Regions from separate parts of the Mus musculus genome. Here region 2 is reported to be linked to region 1. The links are microRNA targets in miRTarBase. Many come from high-throughput screens and were not tested one by one. Region 1 holds a microRNA gene; the other region holds the end of a gene's coding sequence.

Region 1 (8,801 bases):
GAGGGAGGGAGGAAGGGAGGAAAAAAAAGAAGGGGACAGAAAAGAGAAACAAAACAGAAAGAAATGAGGTGGCGTAGGGACTTATGTCAACCATGATCTCCATATGGCCGGCTGTCCAGGGCCTGTGCTGATTGACTTACTATCCCTTGTCATAGACTCTCAGGGGCCCTAGAACTTAGAGTTAGAAGATAACAGAACCTAAGGGGCCTCAGAGTTTCAAATCCCCCGTTAGAGGTCCACAGAAGGTTGACGATCACACACTCAAACATGCACCGTAAGTCAGGGGCAGTGTCTCTCCTAAACAGAGCCCTGGTGTGAGAGGCCTGCCAGGCGGCAGCCTGGTGTCACTGAATGAAGATGAAGAGTCAAGGCTGCCACTGAGCATCTGGGCAGCCTTCTTCTCCTTGGAATAGGAGCAGAGCCAGCAAGGAAAGAGGCTGTGTCTCTAGGTGATATGGTCATGGTACATGAACTGGAGTGGCAGATACCGTGTGTGTTCCAGATCGCCCTTGTCCCTGTTCCTTATGTGACAGACCCTTTGCTCCTGTTCCTGACTGCCTCCAACTTTCTGAACTTCCAAGGCAAGGCTGGGATGTGGACCACTGGGTCATAGTCTCTCACTCCACCCCCATCCTCTGCTCTAACAAAAGATGACTCCAGAGGATTCAGTGAACTCCATCTGGCCTGCATCCATGCAGGAAGTGTGTACCATATCCCTACCATAAAGCCTATTGCCTGATGACAATTCTTCACCCCCACAGGGACACAAGGGCCATCCTGGAGCAGCAGGGCACCCTGGAGAACAGGTGAGGCCTGCCTGCACTGCACTGTACTGCCTGATTTTCCTTCTTCCAGTTCCTGCTTGGTACCAGCCTCCTCCCTGGACTCCCTTCCCTGGAACCCCAGAACAAGGCCTTAGGACTTCCCCTGACCATCACCCCCGCCCTTCCCCAGTCAGCCACGCTCTCTTAGAAGAGCCAGTGTCTGTACTGCGAGCCCAGCCCAGGGCTGGCAGAAGCCCCTGGACTCTGGTTAGAGCCATGAATAGCTGGCCTGTCCCCGGCAATGTTAGGCGATATTATCCCTTCCATTCGCCTTGGGGTTTGCAGGAATTCTGGCCTCCTGGCCCAACTCAAACAGCAGCCCTGCCAGGGAACATCCAGCCAGCCCTCATCTGTGCTTTCTTATTTTGAGCCTGGAGCAGAAAGATTTGTCCCAAGAGCTGGTCTGAACAGTTTCAAGAGAGGTGGGCTTGGGGCCCAGCACACACGGCTTGATGTCTTTCCCCCTTTGCCTCACATTCTTGCCTCCTCCTTGTCCACTGTAGGTACCCTCCCCAACCCCAGGACCCTGACTGAGCTAGAAAGGGCCTCACCTTTCCTAACATTTCTCTTGTTCCTTCGCAGGGGCAGCCAGGACCTGAGGGCAGTCCAGGGGCCAAAGGTTACCCTGGCAGGCAGGTGCAGTATATGCTCTGGAAGCCCTGCCCATGGTGGTGGCCACAGTGCCCCAAGGAGAGGGAGGATGTGGGCTGGGGCCAATAAACTGCCCCTGGGGGCAGACCCTAAGGAAAGGGCTGGCCAGGGACTAGACCTGGCCACAATGCTGCAGGCTCAGAGGTTCTACAGGAGAACTAGGGCTTAGAGAAGGGGTTCCCAAGACTCCTCTCCAGTCTTGCCCTGAGTCACCTCTGGTTCAACCCATACCATGGATGTTTCTAAGGACAGCTGAAGCCCAAGATAAGACTGGCCCTGGGACATTGGCAGCAGGGAGGGCGTCTCCATATGTCCTCGCCCCCCATATTTCTGTTTCAGGGGTTCCCTGGACCTGTAGGAGACCCTGGCCCCAAAGGCAGCAGGGTAAGTGCTTTTTGGCTAGTCCCACCCAGGTGGCACATGCATAGACATCACTGGGCGCTCTATGGGTTGATGGGAGATCAGGGATATGAGAGACTGTGGGCTAGGGCCTGACAACCACTGAACTCCATCTACCTTGAACTGCCAAGGAGGCACTCCACATGGGCTCTCCCAGAAAGGAGACAGCGAAGGTTCTGGGTATGCTGAGTAGGGAGACGGAGGTAGAAGACAATCGACGTGGGTCTCTGTGGGCATGGGTGGCTCTATTGATGATGCATGCCAGGATGCTGCTAAGACTGGACTCCTGAAGTCAGGCCTGCTGCTTCTCAAGAAATGCTCAGCAGCAAGTAGATCACATGGCCGTCAATCTGGGCAGGTCCTCAGTGACATATCCTCTTCCGAGCCAAAGCTATATTATATATATTACATTATATTATATTATATTATATTATAGTATAGTATAGTAGGTTGGGGGGCCAATATGGACCCATTACTGGCCTTAATCTCTGTAGCAGTCTAGCAGTTACGAGGGTGGGCACAACATGGGAAGGCAAGGTCCCTTGGACATTACATGGCATGCAGGGTCAGGGCCACTCTTGTTCTGGGATTCTGGGTCTCTCTCCTGAGGCTCCCATGAGTAGTGGCCTCAGAGGGAATATCTAGAATCTGAAGAGAGCACCCAGAGTCCAAGGCAATCACCTTCCTCTTCTTTCTCTTGTGTGTGAAGGAGTACTACCCACACCAGCCTTGGAGTCTGCATGACTGACTAAGACACCCCAGTCTCTGACTCTGTCACTGACCCCAGATGGTCACTAGGCTTCTCCAAGGACACTCATCTGTGAACACAAGCCATGAATTCTATATGGAAGAGGCAGGGTATAGTGGTTAAGATGGTGGTTGCTGATCAAGCTGGTTACTGAGGTATTTGGGGAAGAAGAGCTGGTACCAGTCTTCCTCAATTGTGTGTTCATGGCGCACTGGTTAGGGGTGTGGGCCTAGGAACCACAGAGCTTGAATTCAGAGACCAGTTCTGCTATGCTACAGCTGTGTGGCCATGGGAAGATCATCTTACCTCTCTGGGCCTAGATGTTCTCAGCTGTAGCGAATTTTAATAACCCCTACCAGGAGCGTTGTAAGGATGCGATAATGTAATCATGTGTCCAGTCCGTAGCTTGTGGGCTGCATTTGTCCTAGGATAGATAGCTATGGATTCAGCCCAACTCAATAAGAAATAATAAACTCAAAACATTCTATAAGATTTTTTGCAATCTACCCGCCCCCCCCCACCCCCACCGCTTTTATAACTTGATTGTGAGATTCTCAAGTGTGAACTTTATAGATGATAACTTTCTCACAGTGTCAAAGTGTGCTCAGTGTGCGTGAAGCATTGAGTCAGGCCTGGCAGGTGGCTTGGCAAGCAGTTGCTTTTGCTGTAGTTATCATTAAACTGCTGCATAGCTTCTATTGGTACAAACCCTGTGCTGGATCCTGGTCCTTGAGAAGTTATCAGAGGACAGGGAGGCAAAGAGAGAAGCCCTGTTATCAGGATACTGAAGGATGCTGGGGGGATGAGCTTGCTCTGATCTGCATGTTTGGTACTAGGAAAGAGAGCCCTTGAGATGGGCTATGTATGTCATGATTCTAACACCATGAGGTAGGCAGGGTAGGCCTGCTTGGGGACTCAGGGGGGACTCAGACTTGGGGACTAAAGACCAGCTACATTCACTCTGGGCCACCCACGTAAAGTGGTGACATGCCTGGGTCCTTAAGTCCATTGGGCCCAGATGACCTTTGAGCTTAACACAAATCAGCTGAATACAAATTGGCATCATCTCTAGCCTCCGGGGTTCTTGCCAGGGTTAACTCAGGATCACCCATGTGCCTGGCACAGAGTCAGCTCTCTGGGGGGGGGGGGCATGCTGACTGGCAGCATTTGTCAACCAGGGTAGATGCAAGCCCCCAGATCCAGGACCTCTGAACTATAGGAGCAACCATTGCAGGGAGCATCCACAAGGCAGGCAGATCTCCCAGCCCTGCAGCATCTAACCTGGGTACGAGCTTCCTTCCACAGGTCGCGAGCTGGGTGCCGGGCCTCTGCCATCCTGTGCTGCCCTCCCTGGTGTGAGCGTATGTGCCTTTGGACTACATCGTGAACGCAGCACCATGCAGTCCACGGGCATATACACTTGCCTCAAGGTCTATGTCATCGAGGACCCCTGGAGCCACCACCACAGAGGACCGGGCCGTGGGATGGCAGCAGGGAGGCTGGGCTGACTGCACCCTATGCTTAACCTCTCTGATCCCCACCTGCTCTTTTCTAGGGTTACATTGGTCTTCCGGGGCTCTTTGGCCTGCCAGGGTCGGATGGAGAGCGGGTAAGTACATTTGTCTGTGTACCGACACCCTCTACTTCTTCTGCGATAGCAGACTGCCTGCTGATGACGTCCATGCTGGGAGTACCTAAGTAGGGTGAGGCCCAGGAAGCAGCATGTGTATACTTCACTGTTATAGCACTGGTGGTCCCGGACAAGGCAGGGGTGCCCCAGGCTTGGTGTTCTAGGTACGCAGGGCAGTGAGGCTAGAGAAGGGACTCAGCAGAGGAGTCTCTAACCAGCCACAGGCATTTATATGTTCTGCAAGGATGGCCAGTTGACTGTTTTGTAAATAAAGTTTTATTGACCGTAGCTCTGCTTATCGATCACGGCTGTTTATGGCTGCTTTCCTGCCACCGTGACAGAGCTGAGTAGCTATGACAGAGGCCACCCACAGAGCGCCAAGTCGTCTCTCTCCTCCCTTTGGCACAGGCATCCACTCATCACTGGCACGGCACTTGGCTGCTTTATAAAGTGTTGTGAGGCTTGTCTCATAGAAGGGTGGGGACAGAGCCAAGTGTCAGATGCCAGGCCAGGGATACCAGGCAGGAACATGGTAGTTTGGTGGCAGCAGAGATGGGGACATCAAGGATGCCTGGCTCAGTCCTGGGTCCTGGGGATGTGTATAGACTGGCTTCAGGACTTCCCAAGATACACTGCCCTCCAGACCAAGTGTCCAAGTCAGGGAAGAGCTGCCCACAGGCCTTTAGGGCTGGCGACTTTAATACATGCTCCTTCCTTCCTCCAAGCCTGTACTTGGAAGTTCAGTTGTAACCCCGTCATTAAGCTAAATACAGGGCATTACAGGGAAGCAGAAGAAGGTACACTTAGTGAGCACCTGCTGAATGCTAGGAGTGCTGGCGGCTTCCTTTAGCACTCTCCCAGTAGGTGATTATGAGTTCCCGAACCCGCATCCATGCAATGAGCATGCAGCTCGCACCATGCTCTGGGCAAGCCTTCCAGACTCCTTGGGACTTTATTCTGGGTGCGGTGGGTGCCCCCTGGAGTTTGATTATGATCTTTCTCCTCTCTCCCCTACAGGGTCTCCCTGGCGTTCCTGGCAAGAGGGGCGAGATGGGTAGGCCGGTAAAGATTTTCCGTGTCTATTACGCAGACTCTACGGGTAGTCCCACCTCCTGCCGGCCGCGTACTGCACTGGTGGTCCCTGAGACCTGGCACTGTCTGCCTCTCAGCTCTGTTTCTCTGCTCTGGGTGTAGGGCAGGGTAACCAGGGGCAATCACTGGCCTGGGATGCTGCCCGGAGTTCTGGCTGCTCCAGGTGGCTCCTCTATCCCTAAATGCTTCAGCAGCTTGCGGGTAAAGCTTTACGTCTGGGGTGTCTGTCCCGATGTTTTTATTAGTGGCCAGCAGGCACTAGGGGACCTAAGTCCTCCCCTGGACAGCACAGGGTCCCCAGTGTCAGGTCTCCCACTCTGACTTCATTTATGCACATGCAAGGCTAGATGACTAGGGAGTATGGTAGGCCTCAAGAGGAATCCCAGAAATGGTTCAGTATTGACCCCCACCCAAATCCACGAGCCCTCTTTAGATCGCTTCAATGCCATAAGGGATTAGTTTTCCTCTTGCCAACCATCTATAGGGCATAAAGAGAAAGACAAGGCCCCAAAAGGTGTCCAAGGCATTGCAGCCCCTGAACAGCTGGAGCAGGGCACATCCAAGACTGACTCTTGGGAATACCAAATGGTACCAATATCATAAAAGTAGGTTTCCTTGACTCTGTTAGGAAAGCCATTGATTCTGTAAGGGGAATCTGAGTCTCTAAGAGATAGACCTCTGGGTGAGGCCTTGTGACTGTCACCAAGACAACTTTCTTCGGGTCCTATCCCAGTTGGTGGCTTAGCTCTTTGCTGCCATCCTGCAGGTCATCTAATCAGACCTACCACTGACTAGGGAATGCAAGCCACTTGACCAGGGTCACACAGAAAATAGGGAGCCAAGTCTGGATCTGAACCTAAGACCATTGATAATGCAGGGCGTTTCCCACAGGGTCTCTTTTCTCCCCATCAACTCCCTTTTCCTCCAGCGAAATCTACAGTTCTCACCCTTGCCTCACCTCTCATGCTAGAAAGGGGGTGTGCAATTTTGGAAGAAGGTCCAAATATAAAATGTTGGCAGTTAGCTAGTGCTGGCAGGACTTCTGGCCCGGCTGGTTCAGGGTTACGCACAGCAGACGGCTGAGCCACATGCTAGCCAGAATCTCTCATTGAGTCTAGAAAGAGGCTATAGTGATTCTTCTTATCTAGTGCGCTCTCTCTCTCTCCCTCTCTGTCTCTGTCTCTCTCTGTCTCTGTCTGTCTGTCTGTCTGTCTCTCTCTCTCTCTCTCTCTGTGTCTCTCTCTTTCTCTCTGTCTCTGTCTGTCTCTCTCTCTGTCTCTCTCTCTTTCTTTCTGTCTCTGTCTCTGCCTCTCTCTGTCTGTCTGTCTCTCTCTCTCTGTGTCTCTCTCTCTCTTTCTCTCTGTCTCTGTCTGTCTCTCTCTCTGTCTCTCTCTCCCTTTCTTTCTGTCTCTGTCTCTCTCTTTCTCTGTCTCTCTCTGTCTGTCTCTCTGTCTCTATCTCTGTCTCTGTCTCTCTCTCTCTCATCAGTGTACTGGGGATTCCTACCCCTACCATGCTGTTTAGGGCCTGGATCTGCCTGTTGTGACCAGGCCTGCACAGAGTCAGGAAGGCAGTCCCAACACTAGATCAGTTGACCCAGGCTTGGCTCTGTCTCCCACTCTGTGACTCAGAGATGCTGAGAGCTTGCCTGAGGACACACAGCTATCTGGTTCAGGTCAGGAATTCCTGCCCTGGGTTTTTCCTAGTCATCAGATAGGGAAGGAGAGAGTATATATCCCCATGTGGGGAAACTGAGGCCCAAAATGATGAGGGGGAGGGTCTGGTTTTTCATTTACATGTGAGCCTCCGGTGTTGGTGGCCTGTGAGTCTCCGTAAGACTTCTGCCTGTCTGTCTCCATCTCTTTCTCCCTTGATAGCATAACTGGAGAGATTTTCTAGTTTCCTTCACAGGGCAGAGTAGTATATGACCTGTATCATGAAACAAGGGATCTGGGAAATTCAGAGGCCTTCCCTATCAGCGTATTTCAAGCACAGTAGAAAGCATGCAAGCTTGACCTGTGGAAGGACTTCCAGAAATTAAATATTTTGTTCTTATAGCTCTCTAAGTTCGGTGGCTCCTCCTGGAGGCTGCTGAATAGTCCCGTGGTGGGTACCACCCCTGACAAGTGATATAATGATAAACATCAGCTTGCCGGAGAATTGTTAATGATGCTTAGCTTGGTCTTGACTAGGGCACAAAGAGGTGGCTGGTTTATAGGCTAGGAGACAGAGCCTGGAAGCTCAGTAGGTCATCTGTTGAATGCTCAGGCTGCGCTGGTCCTGCATCCACCCTCTGTATCAGAGGAGCAGATTCTGGAGGCCCGAGCTTGGCTGAAATGCTTTTAGATGTCTGGGCCTTGGCATGTTGCTGTCCACACCTCTGGCCCTGTGAACTGTTGCCATCCAGAGTGAGGGTGGAGCCTTGCCCTAGTCTATTTTCTTCCGCCCAGCCTGGTTCTGCTCACAGTATAAGGCGAGGCGTTCAGTCCCAGAGGGGCCCAACCTGGGAAAGCGGAGGAGCCACGTAGCACGCCCGGCAGTGAGCCAAGTTCATTCCTTGGGCCATGGGCCAGGCTGCTGCAGTCAGGGGTTGGGGCAACGGAAGAAGGTAGTGCCTGCTGCCATAGGCTAATGTGCAGTCATCACGCATACATCAGGCACAGCCAGTAGGCACTGGATGGCCAGCTGGGCAAGGAATAGAGGCCTTGGGTTGCTGGTAGATGTGGCTGTCTGCTCGGGAGTGGAGTGGTAGAAGCTTTGAATCTCAGTTTCCTACTGGGGCAACAAACTGCTGTTCACTTAAGCTATGGGCTTCCTCCATCTCAGACCACCTTCAATTGTTCCAGCATCTTTAAAGCTTCATTGTTTCCTAACGGTCTTTTTAAAATAAAAGGCCTAGAGTCCTAGAGGTTGCCCGTCAGCAGAAGCAACGCTAGAGATGGAGAAGGAGAGCTGGTCCCCAGGGCCATCATCTATGTCCAGGCGGAACCAGATTTAATATTCATCAGTCTGGAGCCACAATGGCCCTTTGCGATGCTGGACTTCTAATTCTTCTGTTTGTGCTTGATGCCACTACATAAATACCAGGAGAACAGTTCCGGGGCCAGACCACCTGGATTCAAATACAAACCATGCTATCCCAAAGCTGTGTGACTTTGGACGGGTTTCTTAACATCTCTGGGTCTCTTGATATCTAAAACAAGGTCTGCACAAAGTCCCTTTCATGAGTCTGCTACAGTTGGTTGTTACTGTCATGGCTGTGTCTATTGTCACTCATAGGCTGGCCCAGTCTACTGCTGAACTGCAACAGGGTCTCACTGCGGTTTGAACTCAACCTTCAGAAGGCTATGTCTTAAGACTCTCCCTGGTCTTAACAGTCTCTGAAGGAAAGCAGACATAACTCAGATTCTTAGAGCCTTCTGGGTGGTAGAGCCAGGGTAGCTCAGGGGTGTTGGCC
Region 2 (8,801 bases), not on the chromosome of region 1:
AGGATCAAATTTGGATTGTCAGGCTTAGTGGCAAGTACCTAATTTACCACTGAGCCATTTGCTGGCCCCAGAATGGTAATCGTTTCAGATTTGTAGTCTTTTATGCCTTTAATGGATGCATTGAAGTCAGATGTATAACTGTTCCTGAACAGTTAGGACTTTGTATAGAGAACCTGTCTCAAAAAAACAAACAAACCCCAACCAAAACAGGTTTTTATTTCTGGATAGCGATGGCTGTGTATATGTGTAATTCCAGCATTCAGACCACTGAAGTAGATCAGAACTTTAAAGGCAGCTTCAGTTAAATGTAACAGTCTCCTCTGTCAAAAATAAAATAAGAGCTGGAGATAGAATTCAGTGGTTTCAGAGAACACAAGCTCAGTTCCCAGCACTCACACAGTGTCCTGTGACTCCCGTGCCCACTTCAGACCTCTGCAGGCTCCTGTGTATGCATGGTATATAGTCACAAATAGATGAGGTTAGGTCTCCCTTTCTCAAAGGATAGAGCCTGCCATCAGCCTGCATATGCTTCCTACATAGGTCCGGACATCTGCGGTCCTGGCACCAAGAAGGTTCATGTCATCTTTAACTACAAGGGCAAGAATGTGCTGATCAACAAGGATATCCGGTGTAAGGTGTGCCTGGGGTAGTCATTTAAATGGCTGTCATGGGAGGTCCCGGCAGCCTGGTGGGAGGGACTGCTCACCTCCTTCCCTCTTCAGGATGATGAATTCACACACCTATACACACTGATTGTGCGGCCAGACAACACCTATGAGGTGAAAATTGACAACAGCCAGGTGGAGTCAGGCTCCTTGGAGGATGATTGGGACTTTCTGCCACCCAAGAAGATAAAGGACCCTGATGCTGCCAAGCCGGAAGACTGGGATGAACGAGCCAAGATCGATGACCCCACAGATTCCAAGCCTGAGGTTAGTGTTGGGAGGGTAGCTCCACCTCTGTCATAGAATGGAGGACATCTGGGTCCACTTTGACCTCCACGTGTACTCCTAGGACTGGGACAAGCCAGAGCACATCCCTGACCCTGATGCTAAGAAGCCTGAGGACTGGGATGAAGAGATGGATGGAGAGTGGGAACCACCAGTGATTCAAAATCCTGAATACAAGGTAGGCTTGGGTGTTTGGGTGTGGCTCCCTGGTGGGATGTTTCCTTGGGTGCTATGATTAATGTTGCACTGCAGAAACAAACCAAGATAGGCCTTGGGGTCCTAGTCGGGGTTGTTGGCTGTACTGTGGGATGTGTCTGCCTCTCTATTCATCTGGTTTTCTTCTACAGGGCGAGTGGAAACCACGTCAAATTGACAACCCAGATTACAAGGGTACCTGGATACACCCAGAAATTGACAACCCTGAATACTCCCCCGATGCAAATATCTATGCCTATGATAGTTTTGCTGTACTGGGCCTAGATCTCTGGCAGGTGAGACATAGGAAAGACAAGGGTTCCTGGCAGACCTCAAGTCAGGATCATACTGGTTTATCTGGAGGGAAGAACAGGCAGAGGCACCAACCCTAAGGTGTTCTGAAATGGTCCGCCTAATGAGGCATTTCCTGTTTTATCTCCTTTTTCTTACTCAAGAAAGATGGTTTATTGTTAAAGCATTTTTATGTGTATGGTTATATAGAGGTCAGAGGAAAACTTATCAGAGAAGTTGGTTCTCTTCACTATGTGAGTCCTTGGAATCAACTCTGGTCATTAAAAAAATCTTGGCAACCAAGTGCCTTCATTTGCTGAGCTATCTCTGCCTCCACTGAGCACTTTTCTCTTTTCTGCAGGGCTACTTGGCATGTGCTAAGTCTTTTGCCAAAGTGCCCCTGCAAAATCACCTGGGATTACCCAGTTACAGCTCTGCTCACTGCCCACCCTGGCTACATAACCAAATAAGATTTTAAGAAACATTGGTACCGAGTTTTTGTTGTTGATGTTTTGTGTCTAGGCCAGTTCTTGGCATGAGTTGGAAAAAGAGAGCCCCAGAATGCCTGTTTTATAGAGAAAGTAGTGTGGAAAGTGAAGCCAGTAGTCCATCCAGGTCATTAGGGTGTGAGTTCTGGAAGCATGGCTTCTAAACTGTAATGCTCCCAGGATCACAGCTCCCCCCACCCCGCAACCCCCAGCCAGGCAGGCTGGTCTTGGTGTATGTATGTATGGTATGTACTGACTGGCCTAAAATTCTTTACTTCTGCCTACCTTCTCAGTGCATCAACTTACATACTTGCCTGTCCCACCCACTTTTCTTTTGGACATGATCTCACTATAATCCTGTTGGCTTGGACCTCCACAAGTAGTCTGTCTTCTCAGAGCTGGGATCTAAGGCATGTCCTACCACACCCTGCTGCCCCACACATTTTGGTGGATTCAAAGACTAGGAAAGGTGGGAATAGAGGCCTGTCCAGAGCCAGGACTGCCAGAAGTCACTGCTGACCACCTGTCTTTCCGTTCTTTCCCAGGTCAAGTCCGGGACAATCTTTGACAATTTCCTCATCACCAATGATGAGGCCTATGCAGAGGAGTTTGGCAATGAGACGTGGGGTGTTACCAAGGTGGGTCAGAGCTCTTTGTTTACTCTAGGGGTCATCTGGGAGGACTGGCAGACAGATTTGAGCCAGGTATTAAAAGATATGGTTGGTTGGTCCTCACAGGCTGCAGAGAAGCAGATGAAGGACAAGCAGGATGAGGAGCAGAGGCTTAAGGAAGAAGAAGAGGACAAGAAGCGTAAAGAGGAAGAAGAAGCTGAGGATAAAGAGGATGATGATGACAGAGATGAAGATGAGGACGAAGAAGATGAGAAGGAGGAAGATGAGGAAGAATCCCCTGGCCAAGCCAAGGATGAGCTGTAGAGGCCACACCACCTGCCTTCAGGGCTGGACTGAGGCCTGAACACCCTGCCGCAGAGCTGGCTGCTCCCAATAATGTCTCTATGAGACTCAAGAACTTTTCATTTTTTCCAGGCAGGTTCAGATCTGGGGTAGATTCTGATTTTGTTCCCCTGCCTCCCCCATTACCCCCCCCCCTTTTTTTTTTTACTGGTGTTTGTCTTTAATTCTCCTTCAGCCCTCATCTGGTTTCTCATTTTTGAATCAACATCTTTTCCTTCTGTCCCTCCCTTTCTCCATCTTTTGGTCACTACCCTCCAACTCTAGGAACAGGGGTGTAGAGGAGAAGCCCTAGGCTTGAGATTTCATCTGCTCTCCTTCCTGCATCTCAGAGGAGGGCAGGAGAAGGGGGTGGTGTTTTCCCTCCCCCCGCACTGAGGAAGAATGGGGCTCTTCTCATCCCCTTTCTCCCTTGCCCCCAGGACTGGGCCACTTGTGGGGCAGCCAGTTCTAGCACAGCTCACACTGAGAGTGTAAGAACTACAAACAAAATTTCTATTAAATTAAGTTTTGTGTCTTCCCTATTGTGTCTCCTTCTCTGGGAGGATGTACATCAGGAGCTAAAAGCAGCCTTTCTCAGGTGCGGGTGACGTATGTTTCAGCTACTGGAGTTTGCAGAGTCTCAGAAATGTCATTTATATGTATCCCATAGTCTCTAAATGGGAGAGTAGCCATCAGGTCTTGATCCTAAACTCATAGACGTGTAAGTTTTGATTCTAGCACAGACCTCATTGACAGACTGACTAGAATTTAGTGAATTCAAATATTAGCCATCTTGGTTAAAAGTGGGATGGATCTGTTGGACTGACACCTAGGAAAGCTGAGCAAAGTTCACAGTAGTGGGGTGCATGCTGGTAGATAATAGTCAAAGGGACTGACTGAGCTCAGGGACAGTGATCTACTTTCCCCAAGGGCCCATGGTTCTAGGACTGAGCTGATAAAGATAGATTCCAGGATTGGGTTATGTAGTTCAGTTGGACACTTAGCTAGCATGGCCTGGGTTCCATCCCCACCACAAGGAAAAGAAGAGACTCATTGTTGAGTCTCAAGGCTGCCTTTTATACTCTAGTGTAGTAGGTTGAAGAATGGGCAGGAGGAAGCCTGTGTTCTTCACAAGAAAGTTGTGATCTAGCTTTCAATTCTGGAGTCTAGACTCAAGTGAAGGGAGGGAGGCAGGCCTTGGTTAATTGCCTGATCATTGGTGTGGATAGAAACACTGGGCAAAGCAAGCATCTAAGAGGATGGTGATGTTAGTTCTGTTTGAGAGTCCCTTAAATCACCCTGATGAACTGCCCTATCCTGAGTCTGACATTTTCATTACTTTTTGGTATGTGAGGGTGGTCTAAAGCTTCATGAATACTACCCCTTCCCCCCACGAAAAATGTAGGTACCTTAAGAGTTGGTGTAAGTAAGGAAAATTTATGGAGGGGAGAATTACATATTTAATATAAAAGAACCTTGAAAATGTTTGGATGAATAGGTAGGTCATTGCAGGATTACAAAGATGTGGGGAACTCATGAACTAGAAGTGTAAATTTATTCCAAAAATTAAGATGGTCCTTGAAAATGGGGTCACATAGTTGCCCTCCTCTACATTGATTGATGGTAACTTCTAGGCAGTCCTCTGCTAAGATTCCTTTTATTTTGACCAGATCCAAATTGGGTCACTTGAAATAGGCAGAATGTATGAAAAATAACTTAGGAGCAGAAATCTACAACAAACACCTTAAAAACTTTAAAAGTCCTTAGGAGCCATTTTGTGGGTATAATGACATCACTGTTAGCAGAAATGATGTCACCAAGACAGCGGAATGCTGGTGCACACAGCAAAAGCTCACAAAGCTAAGATTGCGCATGTCTAAGGTAAGGTGCAGCCGCGCATGCTCTAGAGGTCGAGGAGGGTGTCACCGGCGCTGACGATCGGCGGGCGCTGCACACTTGCCCCGGAAGTGCTTGGCGCGGCGCGGCTGGGCGCTAAGATGGCGGCGGCGTGAGTTGCATGTAGTACGAGGATCCCGGGGCTGCCGCATTGCTCCGGCCCCGCCATGGCCGTCACCATCACCCTTAAAACGTTGCAGCAGCAGACCTTCAAGATCCGCATGGAACCTGACGAGACGGTGCGGGCCGGAGCCCGGGGGCGGGAGCGACCGGGTGCCGGGGTGGGTGGGGGCAGGGATGCCGGGATCCAACGGGAGGGGCGGAGAGGACGCCGTGGCCAGGCCCTGCCCTCCCCCAGCAGCCCGACCTCCTCGGATCCCCCCGATCGGCCCTGCCCTGCCCCGGCGGCTCGGGCGCTGTTCCCGGGCCAGTCCCTGGGAGTTCCCAGGTCTGGCTCCCGTGTCAGCTGCGGGCTCCGCGTTCCCAGCCTGCAAGCTGCTCAGGTGGCACAGTTTGCCCTCAGTGCCAACGAGGTGCCGACTGGTGACTACAATGATGATAATAATAAATGGTCTTAATCTTAATAGTTTTGGTGGTCCGTCTTTGTTGGCCGTTTATTCTTTACCAGTTTATTCTTTACCAGAGTATTAGTGTCATCTTGCTGAGTCTGCAAAACAGTGTTGTCGTTTGGGGACTCCTGACTTTCCCCTTTTGACAACCACGGAGTTAAGGAACTTTGCCACGGTCACAGCCAATAATGACAGTGACAAGATTTTTTTTTTTCTCCATTTCACATAACAGCAGCCTAAACATGCTGTATGAACTTTTGTTTGGTTTTGCTTTTTGAGAGTGGAGTCTAGTCTTGTTCTTCTGGGCTCATGTGAACCTTCTTTACTTAACCTCCAAGTAACTGATATTGCTGTCTTGGGCCACCTCCCCTAAACCTTCTCAAAACATAGGTTGAAGCCATTGGTGTACCCTCAGTGAAGTCTAAGCTTGGTAGTCATGTTCATAATCTCTGAGCAGAGATTACCTGGAGTTCTAGGCCAGCCTGGGCTATGATGTTTTAGGCAAGCCTGGAGTTGAGTACAGAATAAAATCCTGTTCCAAAAATGGAGGGAAGAAAGATGACCTCAGTAAGTACAGAAAAGTTACTGTTTGAGGCCAGCGATGGATACACCGTTTCATTTTCTTATTACTGTTTCCCCTCCTAACCACATCCCATTGGAAATACAAGTTTGCTTTTCTTCTCACATCAGTGTCTTCTTCATGAGAACACTGACTTGTGTTTGTTCTGTTCCACAGGCCTCTGTAAAACAAGTTGTAAAACAGGTTGGGGATGGAGCTTTTGAATATACAAGGCCTGAGCTAGGGGTCTGTCCCCAAACCACCACTACCATTACACACACACACATATACACACACGGTGAACAGTTCCCGTGTCTGGCATGTAATAGACTGCTGTCAGCTCGATAGATTGAATAGGAATCTCATAGGATTGAAAGCAAAGCTTTTTCTCTAAACAAAAGGGAAGAAGAAGGGAACCTAAGGGTTCGTGATGGTCATTGTATTCTATTTGAAATGGTCTCACTATATAGTCCTGGCTAGCCTGGAACTTAAAGAGATCCACTTGTCTCTCCTAAGTGCTGGGATTATAAGTGTGCACAACTATGCCTGGATTTCACTGAGGGTGTCTTGGTGTGTTAGTGCTATTTATAAATGCACGCACACTGTACTATTAAACTTCTGTGTTTAATACCTGTACTCCTTACTCTAGGTAAAGGTGCTGAAGGAGAAGATAGAAGCTGAGAAGGGTAGAGATGCTTTCCCCGTGGCTGGACAGAAACTCATCTATGCTGGCAAGATCTTGAGTGACGATGTTCCCATCAAGGAATACCATATAGATGAGAAGAACTTTGTGGTTGTCATGGTGACCAAGGTGGGGAGATTAGCTGGGATGCTGGCAAAGAGCTTGTATGCCCAGGAGAGATTAGCCTTAGGCAGGGTGGGGCCATGATGGGGCAGGGTGGCAAGGCTTGATAGGGATGCTGCTTGCCTGATTCTCGTTTCTTGTTGTCACAGGCCAAAGCTGGCCAGGGTATCCCGGCACCCCCAGAGGCCTCACCCACTGCTGTCCCGGAGCCCTCCACACCTTTCCCTCCAGTCCTGGCATCAGGCATGTCTCATCCCCCACCTACCAGCAGAGAGGACAAGAGCCCATCAGAGGAGTCAACCACCACAACATCTCCAGAATCCATTTCTGGGTAAGGAAAGGGCAGTAGCTTACCCTGTACCCACTCTGTCTTCCTGTGCCTTCCAGTACCCACCTATGTGGTCCCAGGCACTTTCGGGGAGGGCAAGCCACCAGAAGCCAGGGTCCGATTTCTCTCTCTTGAATTTGCAGCTCTGTTCCCTCTTCAGGTAGCAGCGGGCGAGAGGAAGACGCAGCTTCCACATTAGGTGGGTGGGTGGTCCTCAGGGCAGAGGCGACTGGAAGCCCCAGCCATCAGCCTTTGACAGCCTTGTCTGGGTCTGGGAGGGTCTGGGAGCTGTCCTCCTGTGCCTCTGGTGACCCCGGCCCTGCTGCTCCCTCCACAGTGACTGGCTCTGAATATGAGACGATGCTGACTGAGATCATGTCCATGGGCTACGAGCGGGAGCGGGTTGTGGCCGCATTGAGGGCCAGCTACAACAACCCCCACCGAGCTGTGGAGTACTTGCTCACGGTGAGGGGGCCATCACTGCCTCCTGGGAGTCTCCAGGTCTCCGTGCCTCAACAGGCAGTGGAGGTGGAGCCTACCCCATAGGCTTTTGTGTATTGAGTGTTGCCATTGAAGTCTTCCCAGAGAGGCTGGACAGAGAACGTGGAGGGCAGGGATGAGACCTTCCTGTCCTGTCAGGCTGCTCACTTGGGAGAGGGGAAGGGGATCTGTTTGAAAGAACTAAAAAGCAGGATCCCTGACAGGGAATTCCAGGAAGCCCTGAGCCTGAACATGGTTCTGTCCAGGAAAGCCAGGCGCCTGAGCAGCCGGCCACAGAAGCAGGTGAGCAGGTTGGATGGTGTCCTCATGGGCATCTGCAGTCTGGATTCCGAAGCCCCTGCAGGGAGGGCTCTGACCACACTTCTTCCTGCCACCAGCAGGGGAGAACCCCCTGGAGTTCCTGCGGGACCAGCCTCAGTTCCAGAACATGCGGCAAGTGATTCAACAGAACCCAGCGCTCCTGCCTGCTCTGCTCCAGCAGCTGGGTCAGGAAAACCCTCAGCTCCTGCAGGTGCGGCCCAGGGTGAGGGAGCTGAGACAGCCACCTTCCCAGTTCCTTAGGGGATCACCCAGGGAGGTAGCTTTGCTCTGAGAAAGCAGAACTAGCAGAGGCCAAGCCCCTGCTCCCTGATGACTTCTAAGGTTACATTGTAACCTGACTCCTAGGGAGGTGTGGATGCTATGGGCATCCATCTGCTGAAGACATCAGAGGCTCAGAGCAGGCTGCCATATGTCTGGCTGGGTCCTGGACTCCAGCCACAGCATTCTTCTCAGTTCTTGCTCTGTCTGCAGCTCCTCTGTCCTGGCCTTCTTCCTGATCTGACCTTCACCTTGACCCTCTCTCTATGTGGTGACCTAAACCTGTGTCATTATACCAGGTCCCTTGGGACCCTCTCATCTGAGCTGTGAAAGGATTTCCTGGACCTCTGAGTTTTCAGACCATTCTTCTCTGTTTGAGCCTCTCACAACCTCCTGGGGACTCTCTCTGCTTCTACCCCAATATCAGCCATTTCTCCCACCCAGTGTCCTGGCATCCTCTTCTCGAGCCTTTTAATTCTACACAGGGCCCCCGATGAACTGTCCACCTAGAGGCTAGATTGCTGAAAAGGCCCTTTTTAATGTGAGAATTGTCAGATGTCTGAAGAAGCAAAGGGTGGCATCAGAACCTCTGGATTTCCAAGTAGAGTGTATTTAATAGGTACCGTGGCTGGTCATGGTAGTGTACACCATTAAGCCCGCACTTAGGAAGCTGAGACAGGAAGATCA

Evidence for each region. The annotated mature microRNA mmu-miR-455-5p reads UAUGUGCCUUUGGACUACAUCG and lies in region 1 at 3,985-4,006, shown strand. An mRNA with a match to its seed (bases 2 to 7 or 8) in the 3' UTR can be bound and repressed. Matches are read on the target gene's strand: a 7mer-m8 pairs with bases 2 to 8, a 7mer-A1 pairs with bases 2 to 7 and ends in A, and an 8mer does both.
Region 2: the mRNA of Calr is a reported target of mmu-miR-455-5p. The part of its 3' UTR that is shown has no 7-base or 8-base seed match.

The regions. Positions count from the first base shown.
Region 1 is chr4:63,252,883-63,261,683 of GRCm38, forward strand. Mir455 (microRNA 455) reads left to right here and starts at 3,969; the gene lies at 3,969-4,050. It overlaps Col27a1 (collagen, type XXVII, alpha 1), which reads left to right. Exons shown (of 61, transcript NM_025685.3): 8 at 762-806; 9 at 1,407-1,460; 10 at 1,815-1,859; 11 at 4,178-4,231; 12 at 5,270-5,314.
Region 2 is chr8:84,836,705-84,845,505 of GRCm38, reverse strand. It overlaps Calr (calreticulin), which reads left to right. Exons shown (of 9, transcript NM_007591.3): 4 at 541-635; 5 at 723-932; 6 at 1,015-1,128; 7 at 1,298-1,441; 8 at 2,470-2,562; 9 at 2,662-3,418. The coding sequence ends at 2,859. Rad23a (RAD23 homolog A, nucleotide excision repair protein) reads left to right here and starts at 4,854. Exons shown (of 9, transcript NM_001297606.2): 1 at 4,854-5,012; 2 at 6,551-6,712; 3 at 6,856-7,037; 4 at 7,178-7,233; 5 at 7,372-7,499; 6 at 7,739-7,817; 7 at 7,913-8,046. The coding sequence starts at 4,941.